2 linked regions of the Drosophila melanogaster genome follow. The protein of the gene in region 2 purifies or fractionates together with the protein of the main gene of each other region. This does not show direct contact. Each region holds a gene or a part of one and is shown on either strand. Other genes may lie near its edges. The genes, in order: CG10184 and CG15818.

Region 1 (5,385 bases), on a different chromosome or scaffold from region 2:
CACAACTCGACTTCGTTGTTGTTGTTCCAGTGGTGCAGTTCCGAAAAATCAACCTTCCATAATTACTTGCCATTTGGGCAGATGACTTTTCGTTACACATTAATCCCGGCCAGAATCTACGGAGGCTCAAAATGCAGACAAAGGACCAACTTTGGCCGAGTCAATTCAATTTCAATTTATCAAATGCTTCAGCAATTTCTCTAATTGAATTTCGTTTCATTTGGCATAGCATAATTTATAAAATATAACATTTCAATGCCGTGCCCCGCCCCCTCGTATGGCTCTGCTATTCACTCAGCCCAGCTCTCTAATCCATTGTAAGGGAACACACAGAGACCCTGGATGCCGGTATCCAATCATTTTGAGCGCATTCCGCCTTCGCCGGCGATAAGTTTGCTTATAAATCACAACTGTCCGATGGCTGCGAGGATGGAGCACTGGGCACTGCAGGCTTTTAAATCGATGAGCACATCGCTGGATTGACAATAATATTTTAAAAATAATTTTATTATTTCATTCAGCCGGGCACTCATGCAGACACACAAGGGAAAACTTCTGGGGAAATGGAGCAGGAGTCGGCGGAGCAGCAGCCCAATGGGCGGTGGGATTGGAGCCCGGCCGGATGTCCATCAGCTTCGACGGAACGATGCCCGGTCATGCGTGAATGTAAACGCAGCTCGGACCCACTCAAGGGGCAATAATACAAATTTGAGATCTTCTTTTGCTCCCTCTATGTCTTTAATTAAACGACAAAATGCAAAATCTAATTGTGTTTGTCTTTCCAGTAATATTCAAAAGAATTACAAATGTCTAGGTCCTGGGAAATTGCTTGTCGTACTGGCCGATGACGTACTTCAGCTTCCTGATGGCCAGGTCCACTTGCTCATCGTCCACCTGATGGTAGAGCACAAGTCTCGCAAATGCCCAATCCCGGGCACTAGCCTTCACCACGATTCCGGCTCCGTTTTTGTCCTTCACTCCGGCTTCCACTTCACCAGCATCAACGATGCTCAACCGGGTGGAGAACTCACTGGCCGTCAGTTTGGGTTGGGTTATCTCTACCAGAAGGATATTGCTCTGGACAGACGACACGTGTACGGTAATGTTGGGACTTTTCAGTTCATATATAGCTGAAAAGGAAATAGATATTTATAGGTGTGCAATTATGTTAGACGTCATGACACCAACCGTTGGCAATTTTATTGGTCCGCTCGTGATCTTTGCTCAGAAGTGGTACCACTTCATCCAAAGCTACCAGTCCAGCTGCTGCTAACACTCCCACCTGCCGCATTCCGCCTCCCAAAGCTTTGCGCAGTCGATGGGCTCTATACGCAGAAAGGTATTTGTTATTGGCTAACATCAAATATAAAATTATATTATATGTAAGTAGTGTCAAATAATTCCATTACTAAGATACAGTTACCAATAACTAAAAATGGACTGCAGCTAAGCACCAATTTCCGTAATTATATCGAAGTATTGGAGTCACCGGAACCCGGAAAAGCAAATATTAGCCGGCAAGCAGCGTATTAGACACTCATGCCGTCATGCCGGGTTAAACTCACTCCGAAATGAAGGCCTTGGAGCCGACTAACACGGATCCCACGGGAGCCGATAAGCCCTTGCTGAGGCAGATAGATACCGAATCGAAATCGCGGCAGATGCGCTCCACTCCCACGCCCAAGGCGGTGGCCGCATTAAAGACCCTCGCTCCGTCCATGTGTAGAGCGATACGGGCGTTCCCAGTGCCCACGCCCGGCTGTCGGACCAGAGCAGCTAGCTCATCCAAGAAGGCCAGAGGCACCACTTTGCCACCGCAGATATTGTGGGTCTGCTCCACCACCACCAGCGAGGTGATGGGCTCGTGGCAGTCTTCGTGGCGTATCCTGCGGCGCAGATCCTGCAGACTAAAGGTGCCATCCTGCTCGTTCTTCAGAGTGGCTAATTGGACTCCGGCCAAATGCGAGGCGCCACCTAAACGTGATTAATGAAAACGCTCTGGAGTCGTTGAGTCCTGGCGGAGTGTTTGCTCTTCTCACCTTGTTCGTACAGAAAGATGTGCGATAAATCGCCGACCAGGGCCTCCGTGCCACGACGATGGCAGTGAACCATAACTGGGGAGATTATCAAGGGAAACATTGGAGTATTCGCTTGGCTCGGGATAATCAAGGATTCAGCCACAGGCTTTTCGGTTTAGCTCTGAACTCATCTTTAATACAACTACTACAGCCTTACTAATTGTTACTGATATCAATAGCACTTCTTACTTTACAAAATTTAGCTAATGATTCTTATCGTTTAAAAATTTGCATTACTCCTGTAAAGATTTAATACCTAGTAATTTAATAGATATTTAACTAGCTTTAAGTGTGCATAATCTTTCTAAGATAAGGTTTATTATGATTTGATAATGAACATAGTAAACTGAAATGCCTTTTCCCTTATTTTCGAGTTCTTAAATGAAATATCTTAATTAAGACCAGGAAGTACTCATATAAATATCACTCTTTTATTGCTGCATACCAAATGAGCAACCCTCTTGAAAAATTATCACAATCACAAGTATGAGTGCAGCAGTTTTCTTTTGAATAAAATGCAAACTTCAAATTCCATTAGAAATATTAATTTGAGCGAAAGCATAAATTACTCCAGATTGCGATGCCCAAAGCGGTAGCTCCTTGCAACTTCGTCCTTTATCCTTCAGTTTTTCTTTTCCCTTGCTCGACCTCGACTGTGTGGCACACGTCCACGTCTAATATTAAAGTCTATAAAAATTAATGTTATGTTTATGGCTGCCCTTAGCCTTTACGATAATGTACCTGATGCATGATATGAGCACTGCTTTCTTGTTTCTTTCACCTTTTCGCTCGGCCCACGCCCACGCAACCAGCCACCTTTTGTGTAATCTGAGACTGGCCTCGCTTTAAACTAATAAACATAAGCGATTCCCCACTACGGAAACCCACTAAAGCAGAGACGGAAAATGAGCCGGGCTTATTTACGACTCCTGGCAGTTGCCACTCACTTGCCAGTAGATTTCCCATGGTGCCGCTGGGCACAAAGAGGCCCGCCTCCTTGCCGAAAATGGCCGCTGTTCGCGCCTCCAGTTCGTTGACGGTGGGATCCTCGCCATAAACGTCATCCCCGACCACGGCGGTGGCCATCCGGGCCCGCATCTTGTCCGTCGGCTGGCTGACGGTGTCCGAGCGCAGGTCAACAACGGAATGGGTGGTCATTTTCTGCAAGTTGATTAGCTGGGATATTTGCATAAGGTGGGCTATGTTGATTTTCCATCTTTATGGCCAGCAGCAAATCCCCCATGGAATCGCGAACTCATTCATTTACATTGAGACACGTCAGTTGTACTGCCTTAAATAATTGATATGGGCAATGGGGCGATAGGCGGTTGGGGGCCCAACACCAAATGAAAACAATCACTTCTGGACATTCGAATGGAATTGGAATATGGTGTGTTGAGCGATTGCATAATCATTATTTTACTTTTAACACTTGATCTCCCGGCTGAACTCGTTCAACCTTTATTCAACTTTAATAGACATAATTCAATTTGTCAAAAAAAAAAAAAAAACACGTAAGTAAACAAAAAAACATCACAGAACTCACTTGGAAACCTAATTGATAAAAAAACTAAGCGAAAAAAATCACACAACGTGCTCCGTTCAGAGCTAGCGAAAAACTGACCCCAACAGCTGCTAAATGGCCTTCTTTATAAGGCAACCTCCGCAATGATAATACTGTTCCCAATTGAGCAGCGATCGATCTTCTTCTTTTTTTTAGTATAAGAGATATCTAAATTCTCTTTTAATATTTTTTTCTCTTTTTATACAAATTTTCGAAGAGCCGAACGCCATGCTCTTTAAGCCCTGCCCACACTAAGATTCTATTTCAGGAACGGAATGTGATCTGTAATAGCACTCTATTAAAACACACAAGATTTCTTTGGTACTTTTTTATTAATTACATCAGAAATTTTCACTAAAATTTTACTATGTCTAACACATTTTTGTTGTTCTTTTCTCATAGTTTTCACACTCAATTCACCTGTCACTTTTTCTTTTCTTGGCCAATCAATGATCTCTATCTCAACCACTCAAGGTACAATTGAAAAACGTTACAATAATAAAAACAAATTTAACTTAGCTATGTACTCAATAATAGTATGAATTAGTTTGTTAACAGTAGTTGTTTCACGTTTTGTTTTGCTTCCGACATGATGAAGTACATGATTCTCGCTGGAACTGATTGGACTAACTAATAAGACGATCCTTGAATCGGATAAAGCTACGCCTGATATCGATCATAATGTTAGGTCAACTTACGAACTAAACTTGCAACAACTTTTCTTGAGAATGGGCGTGGGAAGTAGGGGCATCATTGCATACGAGAAAAGTGTATGCAAAAGTGTATATGTAAAAGTCATAAAATGTATGCAAAAATTATAAATAAATATTTAGAAAATAGTTTCAATTTTTTGTAGTTATCCTTTCAGTTTTAGTTCTTGTTGTTTATGTTTTATAGTCTTTTGAACAAGTTTCCTTCTGGCGCACGCTGGCAAAATGTCAAGATTTGCCCTATATTTTAGTTTATACTTTCACATTCAAGTTGTTTGCACATTGCGTCTTCGTTTACTTTTGGCACCCACTGTAAGCGTACGATAGTGCTCGGTTTGATTTGGGCGTGTGCGATTGGGTGGGAGGTACTCAAATTTCATTGCCAATCAAAGCATTTTCCAGCAGCGCGACAAACAATCTAGGTGAAAGTATAAACTTGGAGTGAATTCATTTCCGCCCTCGGCTCTTGGCCTTCTTTTCGGTTTCTTTTCTAATTTCCGTTTTTTGGTATGTGCAGATGGAGCGACAGGGATTCCTTCACTTAGGACGTTGATCTTTTTCAAAGACCGATTGCCACCAACATTAACGCTAATTGTTTTTTTTTTTTTTTTGTTTCAGTTTCAACACACAGGACACGCGACTAACAGCTAGGGGATTTAATCTAATGCTCTAGGATGTTGTGTGGGCTCACTCCGGTCGCCTCCTTATCGCTACGAGGAGACGTCCGTCTCGGATCCGTCCACGTCGCCCGGCGGATTGCGCTTTATGCAGTCGCGTATGCTTTGCAGGATGATGCCGGTCCGGCGGTCCAGCGCCTCCAGGTGCGGCTGCCAGAGCACCGGACTGACGGGATCCTGGCTCAGGGATTCGCTCATCAGCTGGGACAGCGGCTTGGGACCATTGTGGAAGCTATCAGATAAATAAAATAGTTCATTTAAATATTGCTTTTAATCAGCGTTATAAGCTTAACACCTCACTTTTGTGTTTCAACTTTTGGAAACATTACATAATTGATTGAAATGCAATTACAGAT
Region 2 (4,016 bases):
TTGGACGAGGAGGAGAGCGAGGGTCGCTTGCCCTCGCCGTTCTCCAGTGATCGATTTGTGTTGTTGTTGGCCGATCGCTGGGTAGGATTGCTCGGTTTGTTAGCGGGATTGCTTGGCTTGTTGACGGACGCGGGTGGTTTTCTCCTGGCTGCTGAGGCGGCAGCTGCCGCTGTTACAGTGGAACTGCCCATTGCACGTGAGTTCTTTTTGGCCGGCGGCGCCGAGTCCTCATATTCGTCGTCATCGCTGGAGAGTTTACTTTTGGGAGGATTGTTTACTTTTTTGCTAGATGGCGCTACGCTCGGCTTGGGTTTATCCTCCGACGCCGCAGGAACAGGCTTTCTTCTCTGTGCATTTCCGGAATTAGTTTGTTGTTGTGTTTGCGTCTGGGATTTGGCGGAGGAATTCGTGGATGGCTTCTCCTCCGGCGTCGCACTGCTGGAATCCGTGTCCGAGCTGCTGCCCGTTTCCGAACTGGTGGATCCGCTTGTGGATGAGCTGCCCGACTCCGAGCTGCTGCTGCCGGACTCCAAGGCCATTTTTGTAGCGCAGAATGTTTTTTTTAATATTTGTACACAAAAATGCCTGTTTTCCTGTATTGTTTTGATTAGAGTGGCCAGAGGTGGATGCCAAGCGGAACGCCATGGGAATCGGCCGGAGCTATCGGCTTATAATATGCTAGAGATGTGCAACTAGGGCACAAAAATATCGTATTCCAAAAATATTTTAGTTAGCAAATATTAATTGAAATACGAACCTACACAGTTTATTGCCTTGTTTAATAGGAGTTTTTAAAATTGATATAAGCCAGTTTTTGTGATTAAAGTCGAAAATTTCTTTATTCATTTGTTGCTTATAAAGAGTGCTTGTCGAGTACGATAAATTTAATAATCTTAACGAGGAATCAATCTTAATTTACGACGTGCGGGGAACCAAAACCAGAAAAACAAATAAAATAAATTCGATAACAGCAATCTCTTAAGCCTATTACTCATTTCAGCCAATTTATTTACGGCGCCATGTCGACTTTTTTGACAATTTGAAACGAAATAATTTCCTATCTGTGGCAATCACTTGTTGTCAAAAAAAATTGCCCTTAAACCCTCTCACAAAGAAAAATTATTGCTAAAAGCGTTATTAAATGTTCCCATCAATTTTTGCATCAAATGCAGTAAAGTGAATTATAGTATTTGTGGTTTTGTTGTAATATTCATTCATACATGTGTTGATACTTTAAAACTAAACATCACTGTCTGATTGGCAAATGAAATGCATAACGTCAGTGGTACAGGACAGAACGATCATAATGTTTTCGTGCCCAAAAACGTAGGCGCAGTGCTGGGTAGGATTATTGTATTTGGGTTCATTTTTGCGCCACTTGAAGTAGGTAGCTCGTTTGCCGGAGGCCAAGGATATAAACTCGCCCTGCTTGGCCAGATCGTTGACACCCAGCCAGTAGTTCGCCTTGTTCAATTGGCCCACTATGGCGTTGTATTCCTCGGCATTTTGGAATGCTGCGAGGTGGCCGCCCATTTCAATGCACCTCTGCTCGGCGGTCCTCCAGTTCACCTGTAAGTTGTGTTCGATGTAGAAATATCTCGATCCTATCTGTTGATATCTCTGCAGCACGAGTTTCCTTTCGATATCGGATAGAGTCTTCTGGATGGCTGTCAACTGGTTTTCCGTCCTCTTCTGTCCATCTTTCAACTGATTACTCAGCGCTGTCTGATTGCCTTCGATATCCTTTAGTTTTTGCTCAAGGTCCTCGGTTTTGATTGCCTTCGAAATGTTGTTCACAAGGAATGCTTGCTGGGCTTCTATTTGGATTTGTGTCGCCGTCAACTGGTCTTCGATCTTATCCAGTTTCGCGACGCTTCCATTAAGTTTCACCTCGCAGGCTCCCCAGTCCTGTTGCTCCTTCGAAAGGTGATCGATGACCGGCTGCAGTGCGGATACGCAATATTCACTGCACTGATTGGGAGGATCTGATAATAGACACACATAGCGCCTGCCCTCCTGGGCTTCTATCAGGGATCCGTAAGGATACAGCAATAGAAATGCGCACAAAATAATTCTCGTAGAGCTAAACATTTTGGACAACCACTGAGGTTGAAGCTTGATAAAGAACTGATACTGAAGTAATTGGCTCTCTTTTTAAAGGCCCGGCAATATGGTTGATAAGCATATTTGATCTTCTTATTAAAATTGTCACAAGAAATTTGATGTGGTATCATAAGTTATCATTATTTGTAAAGCGTTGTCAATATGGTATGGTAGTAAAGTAGATATGTACTTCAACTTAATGACATACTTCATTTCTGAAATCAGCGCTAAAGTCGATATCCTCCACTATTAGATCACTCAGCTAGCGGGAGTGCGTATATATAAAGAATTTAACAAATTAAATAATAAAATCAAAATATATTGGGCGTGTCCATCTTCTGAAACAAACTTGCGTTGCGTTTATAGGATCTGCACGCTCGATCTTATCTTTATAGCTTTTATGGTAACCAAAATCACAAACGGAAATGGCCAGATCAACTAATGATCCGAAATGAGAATTCCATTTACCTGTTGCATATTCATCAACGAATGAGGTATACTTTTTTTCTCTACGAGTAACGGCTGTAATGTTAGATAATCATCACTTGATTAATTAATGTCAACTTGTTTGCTCTTCCAGGAATTTCTTTTTTGTGCCCACTTTCACCGGTTTATTGAACTTAACTGCTCTGGAGGTTTCCAATTAAATTATCTGGTTAATTGTAGATTTTATCTACGCCCCTATGTTGAAATAATCGAAAGCTAGCACAGTCAGAAGAATGATATATGTAGAAATTTAAAATGATTCACATCTGCCGGAAATGATAAAGCTTTTTTATCTAGGGTGGTTCCCTAATTTAGTGACCACAATTAAATTTGTTGCTTGTGTGTTAGTTTTTGAATTACTTATAGGGTTTCTAATCACGAACTAACAAAATTGATAAAGTAATGTTTGCTTGTAAATATAAAGTTATCCTTCCGTTGAAATAGAATCTATTCAACATTCGCTGTACTTATTATGAGATGATTGATCAAGAAAAAAAATTAATATTTTTAATTTACTAAACGATAAATAAAATAAATGTATATATAACAATTCAAATTAGATGGTAAGAAATAAAATTTAAAAAAAAATTGGATGAAACAACTGGAATAATCAGTTCCAAAGCAAACTAAAGTATTTTTGGTTGTCTTAGGTGAGGTCACACTAAAGCCGTTTCAACGTCTGGCAACGCTGCACTACGCCAAAACAAAACAAATCATTTTTGTACTTTTTAAAAACTCTTGCTCATTCTGCAATGTATAACGTGGAATGCATTCCTATTAAGGACATAAAGCCGGGTCTGAAGAACATCAATGTTATCTTTATTGTCCTGGAAGTGGGCGTGGCCACCGTTACAAAAGAAAACCGCGAAGTGAGGAACTTCAAGGTGGGTCCATCGTTGCATTATTCACATAAAAACAAATAATATAGTGAAAACAATGTTTATAAGGTGGGCGATCCTACGGCCTGCATCAATGTTTCGATTTGGGACGAGCCGGGCAAACTGATAGCACCCGGTGATATTGTCAGACTGACAAAGGGCTACGCCTCCATCTGGAGGCATTGTCTGACCCTTTATTCCGGAAAGAACGGCGAGGTGTTCAAGATCGGCGAGTACTGCATGGTCTTCAACGAGAGCGTCAATATGAGTGAACCGAAACGGGCGGAGCAGCAGGCGGTGGCAAATCCTGCTGCTACTCCGGCGGGACTTCCGGCCGGTGGTGGTGCTCCTGGCTTGCCCGCTAAGGGTGGTGCCACGGGCATTCCACAGCCCGCGGTGGCTGCTGCACCAGGTGCTCCCGCCACCCAGAGCGCCGTGACCACAGCTCCTGCTGCGGCGCCAGCAATCGCACCCCAAACGACAACGAAACCTGGCACCCGTGGCGGCCGTGGAGGTGGAGGACGAGGTGGCCTTAAGGGGGAACGGCGT

What was found.
Region 1: the proteins of CG15818 (region 2) and CG10184 purify together in Drosophila melanogaster (affinity purification with mass spectrometry, with the first as the bait; one large-scale study listed by BioGRID). This does not show direct contact.

What each region holds. Positions count from the first base shown.
Region 1 is NT_033777.3:23,601,789-23,607,173, forward strand, and holds CG10184 (uncharacterized protein), read right to left. Parts: upstream 3,708-5,385; 5' UTR 3,625-3,707; intron 3,240-3,624; 5' UTR 3,237-3,239; coding exon 3,026-3,236; intron 2,115-3,025; coding exon 2,040-2,114; intron 1,975-2,039; coding exon 1,566-1,974; intron 1,326-1,565; coding exon 1,189-1,325; intron 1,131-1,188; coding exon 811-1,130; 3' UTR 719-810; downstream 1-718. Other genes in the region: CG31145 (uncharacterized protein), read right to left, coding at 5,063-5,261.
Region 2 is NT_033779.5:7,409,030-7,413,045, reverse strand, and holds CG15818 (uncharacterized protein), read right to left. Parts: upstream 2,138-4,016; 5' UTR 2,092-2,137; coding exon 1,240-2,091; 3' UTR 817-1,239; downstream 1-816. Other genes in the region: chm (chameau), read right to left, coding at 1-539; CG5181 (uncharacterized protein), read left to right, coding at 3,342-3,473, 3,537-4,016.